Oryctolagus cuniculus: one gene and its partners. The protein of the gene in region 3 interacts with the protein of the main gene of each other region in a pairwise test. Links are inferred from orthologs where the notes say so. Each region holds a gene or a part of one and is shown on either strand. Other genes may lie near its edges.

Region 1 (2,221 bases), on a different chromosome or scaffold from region 3:
GAGGTGGGCGGGCAGCTCGTTGGGCAGCTCGTGCCCCTCCAGCTTGACTTTGATGAGGTGGTTGGCCAGGGCGAACTCCTCGTCATCCAGCATGCCGTCCTTGTCAATGTCTGCCAGCTTCCAGATCTTGCCCAGCACACTGTTGGGCAGCTTGGAGCGCACCATCTCCTTCTTCGCATTAGCGCCTGTGATCTTGCCGTCCACCGGGGACAGGGTGTAGAAGATCTCGTCGTACATGGGCTTGTCCCTGGCCACCACCCACTCTGCATCGTCGATGCCCTCCCCAGCCCCTTCCCCGTAGCCATGCCCGAAGGGGCCGTGCAGGGTGCCCTCGAACGCTCCTCCCTTCACCATCTGGACGGGCCGCTGGGTCTCCTCCTGGCGCACCAGCACCATGAGCTGGGCAATGTCGTGTGCCAGCATGTCATCCACCACCTCCAGCAGCTTGCTCTTCAGCGGCTGGAATTTGCTGAAGTCCTGGGCCTGGAGCTGGTCCTGGGGAGAGGGAGGGAGGGAGGGAGACAGTGAAGACACAGGAAGGGAGGCAGCAGCCGCGTGCTGGCGGTGCGCTTCCAATAATGCCGGGACGTCCACAGCCCAGCTCCTATCCCCAGGGCTAAGTGGGTCACCTCGGAGAATCGTGGAAGACAGGAGAGAGGAACAGGAGAAAAGGCACAGTGGGCCAGGATGGAGTCTATGAGCAGTAGAAAGGTGGCAGGGACAGGGGACTTTAACAAGTATGGGTTTGGTCTCTTGTGATTGAGAGTAAACCATCGCGCTTCTCTTTATGCCAGCTCGGCTGTGGAATGGATTCTTCTTTCTCAGGCATGCGTGGTTGCTTATGGGAATTGGCTCATAAGAATATAGGATACACGTGGGGGAAGGGTGACTTGGGACTGGAGTCCGGGGGTCTCTGCTTTAATGAAGCTTGAAGACGCTTCATTATGAGTACTTTCACTGCGTCCCCTCGGTCACTGCCCCAAGGGGTTGAGAAGTCACACTCCACCCCCAGTGAGTGAGAGAAGCCGAGAGCAACTGGAATCAAACCCTACTGGCAGCCAAAGCCATCCTCACAACCTACAGATGTCCAGGAGGATGCTCATGGGAATGACCCGGAGAGAGTTCTCAGAACACTGGTTTCTCCCCTGTGCGTTTCAGCGGAGGGAGGGGCAGGAGCAGACTTTCCACGCTCCCTTCCTTGCCTCTGTGTGACGACCCACCCTCCACTCTGTATGGTTCTGTCACGTTCAAAGGCCCTAGTCTACCACAGCCAGCTTCTCCTTGGCCTCTAGGGGGTGACAAGGGGAGCACTTTGTGTTCTTGCCCTGGCTCTGGCCATAGCAACCCCAGAACGCTGGGAGGAAGCCAGCACACAGGGACAGGCGTGTTGGGTTCACTGCAGAGAAATTCAGAAACACCCTCAGCTACATTTCAAGAGCGAGTGTGAACCTGGATGCTTCTCACCTCCCTCCTAGGGGCAAGGCTAGGAGGCAGTGGGGGCTGATCGTGGTCTGGGAACCCAGCAGACATGCCTCTCCCTGTGTGTTTAACCCTAGAGGCTCCCAAGTAGGGCTCCTATTGTCACCTGTGGGGGCATGGTGGGTGTGCCCATCACCCCCACCACACACACACACACACACACACACACACACATGACAGCCGTTCACCCTGTTGATTTAGTAGAATCTACAGAGCAGACAGGACACCAGACAGGCAAACAAATGAGGAAGTGCAAAGCACTGATGCTGCACAAGGCTTCTTCATATTAAAAAGCAGGTGTGCGACCCCTTTCAGAGGCCATCTTCCCAAAGATTTGTCTACAGATCATTAAAGTCTGAACCGAAAGACAAAGAGCAGAAGTGCTCCAACCAAGCAGTTTTGAGATCGGTGCCTGGCTCCCAGTAGGCGGTTCTAGGGATGAATGACCAGGGGTACATGCCTCCTTGGGATGTGTGTGCGTGGGTCCTCTTAATTTCACTAGATGGGAAATGGCAGATGTCTCTCAGTGCCTGTGATCAGCTGAGAACCTGCTTCCCAACCTAAAGATGCCAATAACCACAAGAACAAAGTCTGTTACTCGTGCTTCTGTGGCTGCTAGCTTTTGGTTTTCCAATATTCTGATGAAAAAAAAATTAAAAATTTATTTATTTTTATTTCATTTGAGAGAGAGACAGAGAAATAGAAAAGTCTTCCACCTGCTGGTTCACTCCCCAAATGCCCA
Region 2 (3,567 bases), on a different chromosome or scaffold from region 3:
CGTGTTGGGCAGCTTGGACTTGACCATCTCCTTCTTGGCGCTGGCGCCCGTGATCTTGCCGTTGACGGGCGACAGCGTGTAGAAGATCTCGTCGTAGGTGGGCTTGTCCTTGCCCACCACCCACTCGACGTCGTCGATGCCCTCGCCGGCACCCTCGCCGTAGCCGTGCCCGAAGGGCCCGTTCATGGTGCCGTCGAAGGCGCCGCCCTTGACCACCTGCGAGGGCATCAGCGACTCCTCCTGGCGCACCAGCACCATGAGCCGCGCGATGTCGTTGGCCAGCATGTCGTCCACCGTGTCCAGCAGCTTGGGCTTCAGGGCCTGGAACTTGCTGAAGTCCTGCGTCTGCAGCTGCTCCTGGGGGCGCAGGACAAAGGACAGGCTGGGCGGGGGCGGGGCAGGAGGCAATGGCTGCCCAGACCCCGCAGAGCCGGACACGGGGGAGCTGCCCCGCCCCATCGCCCGGCAGCTGGGGCTGAGTCACCGCCTCCCCCTCCCCGGGGTCCCGGCCCGGGCCGACCTCCGGGATTCGGGTGGGTGCTGGGCCCGCACCTGCATCTTGCGGAGGCTGGGGAAGTCGCCCGGCGAGATCTGGTGCTCCCGCTCGATCTTCTGGTAGATCTCGCCCAGGTTGTTCACCAGCTCCTTCTTCTTGCTCTCTTTACCGAACACGTTGGGCATCTCCTTCTTGAGAGAGCTGATGATGTAGGCGTGCACCTGCGGGCAGGGAGGGGCATCAGGGAGCCGAAGGGCTGTGGCTGTCCTCCCAGGACCCTGCGGGCCTCGCGGGAACTCTGGCGTCACCATGGGGAGGAGGCGAAGCCGGCCCCAGGGACCGCCCGGCCCCGCCCGGCAGCCACAGGCCTTCCACGTGCCCCGCGAGGCTCGCCCTGGCTGCGTGGCCGAGTGCACGAGCTGGATTGGACCCGCCGTGCCGGTCCCCAGGGCCGCCCGCCACGCGTGTGTGCAGAGCACGCCCCAAGCTCCGTGCGCCCCGCGGGTTACAGGGCGGCACGGCTGCTCCTGGCCATCCCCAGCGTTATCTGCACGGCCATGCCTTGCCCAGACGCCTGCCAAGTCAGGGCGGTGCCCGGCTCACTTCCCCGTGGCGCCCTCGGTTCTCCCGGCCCTGGCGAGGAAGTCCAGCCGGCCGGCCCCACCCGGCACCCCCCACCCGGCCTGCCCCTGCCTCCCTGGGGCCGGCAGCCCTGCGCCGTCAACAGGGCTGGCGCCGAGGACCTCCCAGGGCCGCGAGGGCAAGGGATCAGAGCAAAAGGGAAACAGCTGCCCGACAGCAGGCGTGGGACAGAGCGGAGACCCCCGGGCTTTCCAGGCTGGTGACTCAACGTGCCCAGGGCCAGCGGCTCTCAGGGCCTTGTGCGGGGAGCTGCCCCTCCCTGCTTCCTCCGAGGCCACGGCGTCCCAGGGCTTTCGCAAACCTGTTCTGCACTGGGTGGCTCCACACCCAGGACCAGGCCCAGTCCCGGTCCCCAGCACGGCTCTGCGGGCCACGGGCAGGTGACCGCTGCCCGCTCTCAGCAGCACTCTCCAGACAGTTGGGGACACAGAAGTGACAGGCCTGGACTGGCCACCAGGACGGTGGACGAGCAGAGCCTGGCCCGGCGCTGGGGTGCCTGGCAGCAGCTGGCCAGGCCCCGCACTCGGCCATCACCCGCCTGCTCACGCTCGGGTCTGCGGCTGGTGCGGGGCTGTCCAAAGTCAGGCCTCCACAGGGGACACCCTCCGTCCGTCCCCATGGTGGCGTTAACTTGATCTCCGCGCCCCAGCCTCCCTGAGCTCGCGCGCAAACCTTGGCCGGGCCCCGAGATTCCAAACTGTTGAGCAATCTGGGCGCTCCCCGCCGGGCGTCACCGGGCCCCAAGTTTCCACGAAAGGGTCGGAGCTGGTGGACGAGGCCTGCGTGGACGGGCGCCAGCTCACCGGGATCTGGGCTTCACGCCCAGTGTCCGCCCGGGGTCGCGGCTGGCGCCTGGCTCCCCAGGGTCACTCCCACGGGGCTCAGCCCACAGCAACACAAACAACCCCAGGACTTTCTGTGTGCACGGAGCGCCGGGCTGGGGGCTGGAGCCACTCCCCGGGCCCCCCGGGCCCCCCAGGCCCGCCCCGCCCCGCCCCGCCCCGCGCACGCTCCTGCACCAGGGAAGCCTGCAGGGGGAGCGGAGGAGGCCGGGGCACGCCTCTGCTTCCTGCTGGACGCCCCGCCCCCCAGGCCCACCTTGGCCAGCCGCGCGCGCTTGATGAGGTCGTTGAGCTTGCGCAGGGCGGCGTTGCGGGGCAGCGACTGGATGTCCTTGAACAGGTCCTGCTCCTCGGCCTCGAACAGCTTGCGGTTGTCGGGGATGAGCAGCGGGTGGGACCAGAAGGAGCCGATGTAGACGCGGACCACCTCGGGCGTGTTGATGATCTTGCCCAGCGACCACATGAGGGCGCCGTAGACGCGCATCAGCTGCTGCGTCTCGATCTGGTCGGCCTTGTTGAGCACCACGCGGATCTTGTCCTCGTGGTTCTTGAGGGCCTTGATGACCTCCGAGAACTCGTCCGAGATGTCCAGCTTGTGGGCGTCGAAGAGCAGGATGATGCGGTCCACGCGCTCGGCGAACCACTCGAGGACGGCCGCGAAGTCGTAGCCTGGGGGCGACACGGGGCCAGCTTGAGCTCGGGAGGCCTGGCGGCTGGACAGCCAGGCCACGCCCCCCGGAGGGGGGAGCATCAGAGAGGGGAGAGACATCTCCTACCGCTGGTTCACTCCCCAAATGCTACAAGAGCCAGGACTGGGCCAGGTCAAGGCCAGGAGCCTGGAGCTTCCTCCAGGTCTCCCGCGTGGGGGCAGGGGCCCAAGCACTTGGGCCACCACCCGCTGCCGCCCAGGTGCGCCAGCGGGGAGCTAGACGGTAAGCAGAGGGGCCAGGACTCACACCAGCCCTCCAACATGGCAGCTTAACCCCCTACGCCCAGCCGCCGGCCCCTATAAAGCTGCCTTTTTAGGTGTTTTGTTGTTTGTTGGAAAGGTACGGGGGTGGGTGTGGGGGTAGACAGATCTCCCATCTGCTGGTTCACTGTGCAAATGCCCACGATGCCAGGGCTGGGTCTGGCTGGAGCCGGGAGCCCCATCCGGGTCTCCGTGAGGGTGGTTGGGACTCAACGACTTGAGCCACACCTGCTGCCCCAGGTCCACATCAGCAGGGAAGGAGCCAGGAGCAGAGCTGCGACTGAACTCAAAGTCCTCCGACGCGGGGCACGGCTGCCCCCGAGGTCACCGCTTCAGCTCCCAGAATGCACAGCACCTGAAGTGCCCCACCCATCAGCGCTGGCGCGGACAGGCACAGACACAAAGCATGAGCTCCAGAACGGGGGGGGGGGGGGGGGGGGCCGCGTGGCCCAGGGGACATGGAGGGCGCGTCTGCTGCAGCTCCGACCCTATCCACTCTGGTACCTGCGGCGCTTATCTGCTGCCGATGCCAAAAGCCTCCTGTTTAAGCTTTGCCACTTTGGTTGCAGTTGGGACCAGACTGGGCCCCCACTTGTCCTATGCAAATGGAGTCCGAC
Region 3 (3,567 bases):
GAAATGAGCCATGGGCTGTTCCTTCCTTCAGGATAAAAGTCACAGATAGCTCATTGTCCAATGGAAGAGACTGTGATGTTGTAATGTGGGAGGTACTAGTACTGTGGGAGGCTCAGGAGAGTGGGAACATGGGGCTCTGGTTGGGAGGTGGTACTTGGGAAGTACCTTGAGCAGTGAGTAGGACTGCTCAGAAGATGGAGAAGAAGGAATTCTGGTTAGAGTGGAGAGCACATCTAAAGGCCCTGGGGCAGATGAGTAGATGAACACATGGACTCCAGGAGAGGAGTGTGAGAACAGAGTTGAGGATTGTGGGAAGGAGGCTCCAAAGGTTAGATGGAACAGGATGCTGCAGACTTGCATCTCAGCTGGTTGTTGAGAAGTTGCTGAAGTTGATCTCACTGGGCTGTCGGGGGTGGATTGTAACCCTGGAGAGTACTGCTGACTCTGGGTACTTTGCTGGCCACAGGAGGGGGGCCGAAGCAGGCGTGTCTCTAGCCGACTCTCACATCCCCCAGGCCCACTTCACCTTAATACTTTGCCTTTCTCCCTGAGACCACTTCCTGTCCCTGAGACTTCATAAGCTATATTCTGTGGACACTGTTTGCCTTCTCTTGGCTCATTGGCCAGTGACGATTGGGCAGCTGCAGTGAGTGACACAGGCTCCTTGGCCAGCTCTGGGGTGCACCCTGACTGTTGTACAGGGAGAAAAGTGGGAAGTGCTCCAAAGTGCACTGTGTGGTGGGAACTGACCGGAAGGACGGATGTCCCTGGAGGACCTGCCTTTTCAGCTGGGCTTTGGAGAGGGTAGGCACTGGATGTCTTGGGGTGGTTTCATGGAAGAATTTGGTGTATCCGAGGCACAGGGCAGAAGGAGGAGTGGGGTGAATGGTAAGGCTAGGTTAGGGGTGGGCCTCCAAGCCTTCTGGGCCATTTGGATCTTGTCTGCATGGCTCGGGAGTCCTTTCTCACCACCAGGTCCCACCCCAGGAAGGAGAGAGGCAGGTACTTCTCACCACAGGACGCACTTGACTGTGTCAGTTCCCAGATCTAGTGCCTGTGGACTGGGAGCCTTCAGTTGTGGGGGGAGGGTTAATTGGATATAGTGGGGCTCATGGCTGCCGGTGTTTGGTTTTGACAGACAAGCTCACCAGTGCCAGCAAGGATTCCCTGAGCACGCACACCAGCCCCAGCCAGTCGCCCAACAGTGTCCACGGCTCCCGCCGGGGCAGCATCAGCAGCGTGAGCAGTGTGAGCTCGGTCCTGGATGAGAAGGACGATGACCGGATCCGCTGCTGTACGCACTGCAAGGACACGCTGCTCAAGAGGGAGCGGCAGATCGACGAGAAGGAGCACACGCCCGAGATTGTGAAGCTCTACGAGGTGACAGAGCGCGCTCTTGGGCTGACCCGTGGCCGCTGTGGCCTCTGTGGCTGCTGCTTGTGCACAGGCCTGCATGTTCCTGAGAACGCTCTGGGAGGCTGCTCATTCGAATCATTTCTCCTTCCTGCTGAAGGGCCAGGGTGTGCTTTCCCAGCCAGGGCCCTGAATGAGTCAGAGTAGCCCTGTGAGTGCTGCAGCAGACTCCTGCCCTTAGCTGTCCCTGCCTTCTTGAGAGCTGGGCTTGGGGTGGGGACTGTGGTGGAGGCCCGGGGGAAGGGGAGTTGGGGCCGTTGCCATGTGGGTTGCTCCGGGGAGGGTAGAAGCTGGAGATGGCAGAAGCCAGTCCTGGGAAACTTTCTGGGAGTTTGAAGCTCTAAAGTTTGAGAAGGTGTTCCAGATTTCCAGGCTTTATAGGTTTCCTCTTAGAGGCTGCCAGCATCCCTCTCTAAGTCCCTTCAGACACCCCCAGTACTCCTTAGCAATGGTGATCCCAGCCCCCTTATTAGATACAGACTGTGGGAGGAAATAGTGTGTGCAAAGAACAGCTGGGAGTGAGAGTGGCTCTGCCTGAGTGGCTGGGGAGACCTGTGAGCTCATGACGGGGTGCTGGGCAGGGTTGTGGTTGGGGAAGGGGTGGGGGAAAGCAGCTGCTTTTGCAGAACCCCGAGCAGAGGAAGAGCATACTTTATCTGATACGATCACTCGGTGACCACTGTCCGCGGTGCTGTAGGGCGGAGTGGCCGTGTTGGGGAGCCACGAAATCCTCAAGCTGGTTGCTCATTGAACCCATGCTGCAGATGGAGCCATTATCCATCCTTTGCATGTAATTCCTGACCTGGTAGCTTTTTTAAAAAAGATTTATTTTTATTTATTTGTAAGTTACAGAGAGAGGTAGAGACACAGAGAGAGTTCTTCCATCCGCTGGTTCGTTCCCCCAGATGTCCGCAATGGCCAGAGCTGCACCGATCCGAAGGCAGGAGCCAGGAGCTTCTTCTGGGTCTCCCACGTGGGTGCAGGGGCCCAAGGACTTGGGATATCTGCTATCCCAGGCCACAGCAGAGAGCTGGATTGGAAGAGGAGCAGCTGGGACTAGAACTGGTGCCCACATTGGATGCCAGTGCTTCAGGCCAGGGCTTTAACCCACTGTGCCAGAGTCCCGGCTCCTGGTATCTCATTTTTAAAAACAAAGTCATTTATCTTTATGCTGTGCCTTTAAGATTTGTTTATTTGAAAGGCAGAGTGACAGAGAGGGAGAGACAGAGCTCTTCCATGCTCTGATTCGCTCCCCAAATGCCCGCAACAGCCAGGGCTGGACTGTGCCAAAGCCAAGCACTCCATCCAGATCCCCCACAGGGATGGCAGGGACCCAAGGTCCTGGGTCACCATCCACTGCACATTAGCAGGAAGGTGGATTGGAAGTGGAGGTGCTGGACTTGAACCAGCACTCCTGCCAAGCAGCTTAACCTATCACGCCACAGTGCCCGCCCCGGTATCTCATTTTTGTAGATGGTCTTTGTGCTTTCTGCTTCCTTCTGTTTTGAGGTGAGCCTGGGTGGCGCTGGGTCCTGCTGTGGGCTGATGTTGCCAGCAGAGAGTGTAGCTGCTGGTTCCTTTTCTCTGTCTTGCTGGGTACCTTGGCTTGTGCTCCAGAAAACCTTCTCCCCTCAGAAACGTCCTATCAGAGGCTCTGCCTTTCCTCTCCTTTCTTGAAAGATTTTCTGCTTGAAAAGCAAATTTATAAGTTAGGAAATTGATAGAATTTTAAAAACCCACTTTTGTTAAAGGTGCATTTTGTAGTGCATCTCCGGCTGGAGCCTCAGTTCTGGGAAGTTTCTGTGACTGGAGGGCATCACTCACCACTTCTTTTTGTTCTTAGAAATTGCGACTCTGTATGGACAAGGTTGACCAGAAGGCCCCTGAGTACATCAGGATGGCAGCGTCATTAAAGTAAGTTGTCCCCTCTGTTCCAATGCAGTAGTGACTCTTTCAGGTCAGTTTCTCAGTAGCGGAAAATGGGGATCTTAGCTCTAGCCATCGTTTTTCTCTGTGGCCGGCTGAGGAGGTTCTTCATGTCTGTGTTTAAGTGGATCCCACGCTGCACGTGGGAGCTTTGTGAACAGTGTGAGAAGAGTGCAGTGGGGCTTGTGCTCATCGGGGTGAGGAGCTGCTGCAGCGTGGCGTTGAGGC

What was found.
Region 1: the proteins of RBSN (region 3) and EHD3 interact in binary tests that used the Homo sapiens proteins (3 or more experiments, as listed by UniProt). The link is inferred for Oryctolagus cuniculus from reciprocal best matches to the Homo sapiens genes RBSN and EHD3.
Region 2: the proteins of RBSN (region 3) and EHD1 interact in binary tests that used the Homo sapiens proteins (3 or more experiments, as listed by UniProt). The link is inferred for Oryctolagus cuniculus from reciprocal best matches to the Homo sapiens genes RBSN and EHD1.

The regions. Positions count from the first base shown.
Region 1 is NC_091433.1:171,394,715-171,396,935, forward strand, and holds part of EHD3 (EH domain-containing protein 3), read right to left. Parts: intron 496-2,221; coding exon 1-495. UniProt on the Homo sapiens protein: ATP- and membrane-binding protein that controls membrane reorganization/tubulation upon ATP hydrolysis. In vitro causes tubulation of endocytic membranes. Binding to phosphatidic acid induces its membrane tubulation activity.
Region 2 is NC_091432.1:6,642,444-6,646,010, reverse strand, and holds part of EHD1 (EH domain-containing protein 1), read right to left. Parts: intron 2,650-3,567; coding exon 2,237-2,649; intron 718-2,236; coding exon 553-717; intron 358-552; coding exon 1-357. UniProt on the Homo sapiens protein: ATP- and membrane-binding protein that controls membrane reorganization/tubulation upon ATP hydrolysis. In vitro causes vesiculation of endocytic membranes. Acts in early endocytic membrane fusion and membrane trafficking of recycling endosomes.
Region 3 is NC_091441.1:113,924,712-113,928,278, reverse strand, and holds part of RBSN (rabenosyn-5), read left to right. Parts: intron 1-1,138; coding exon 1,139-1,380; intron 1,381-3,256; coding exon 3,257-3,327; intron 3,328-3,567. UniProt on the Homo sapiens protein: Rab4/Rab5 effector protein acting in early endocytic membrane fusion and membrane trafficking of recycling endosomes. Required for endosome fusion either homotypically or with clathrin coated vesicles.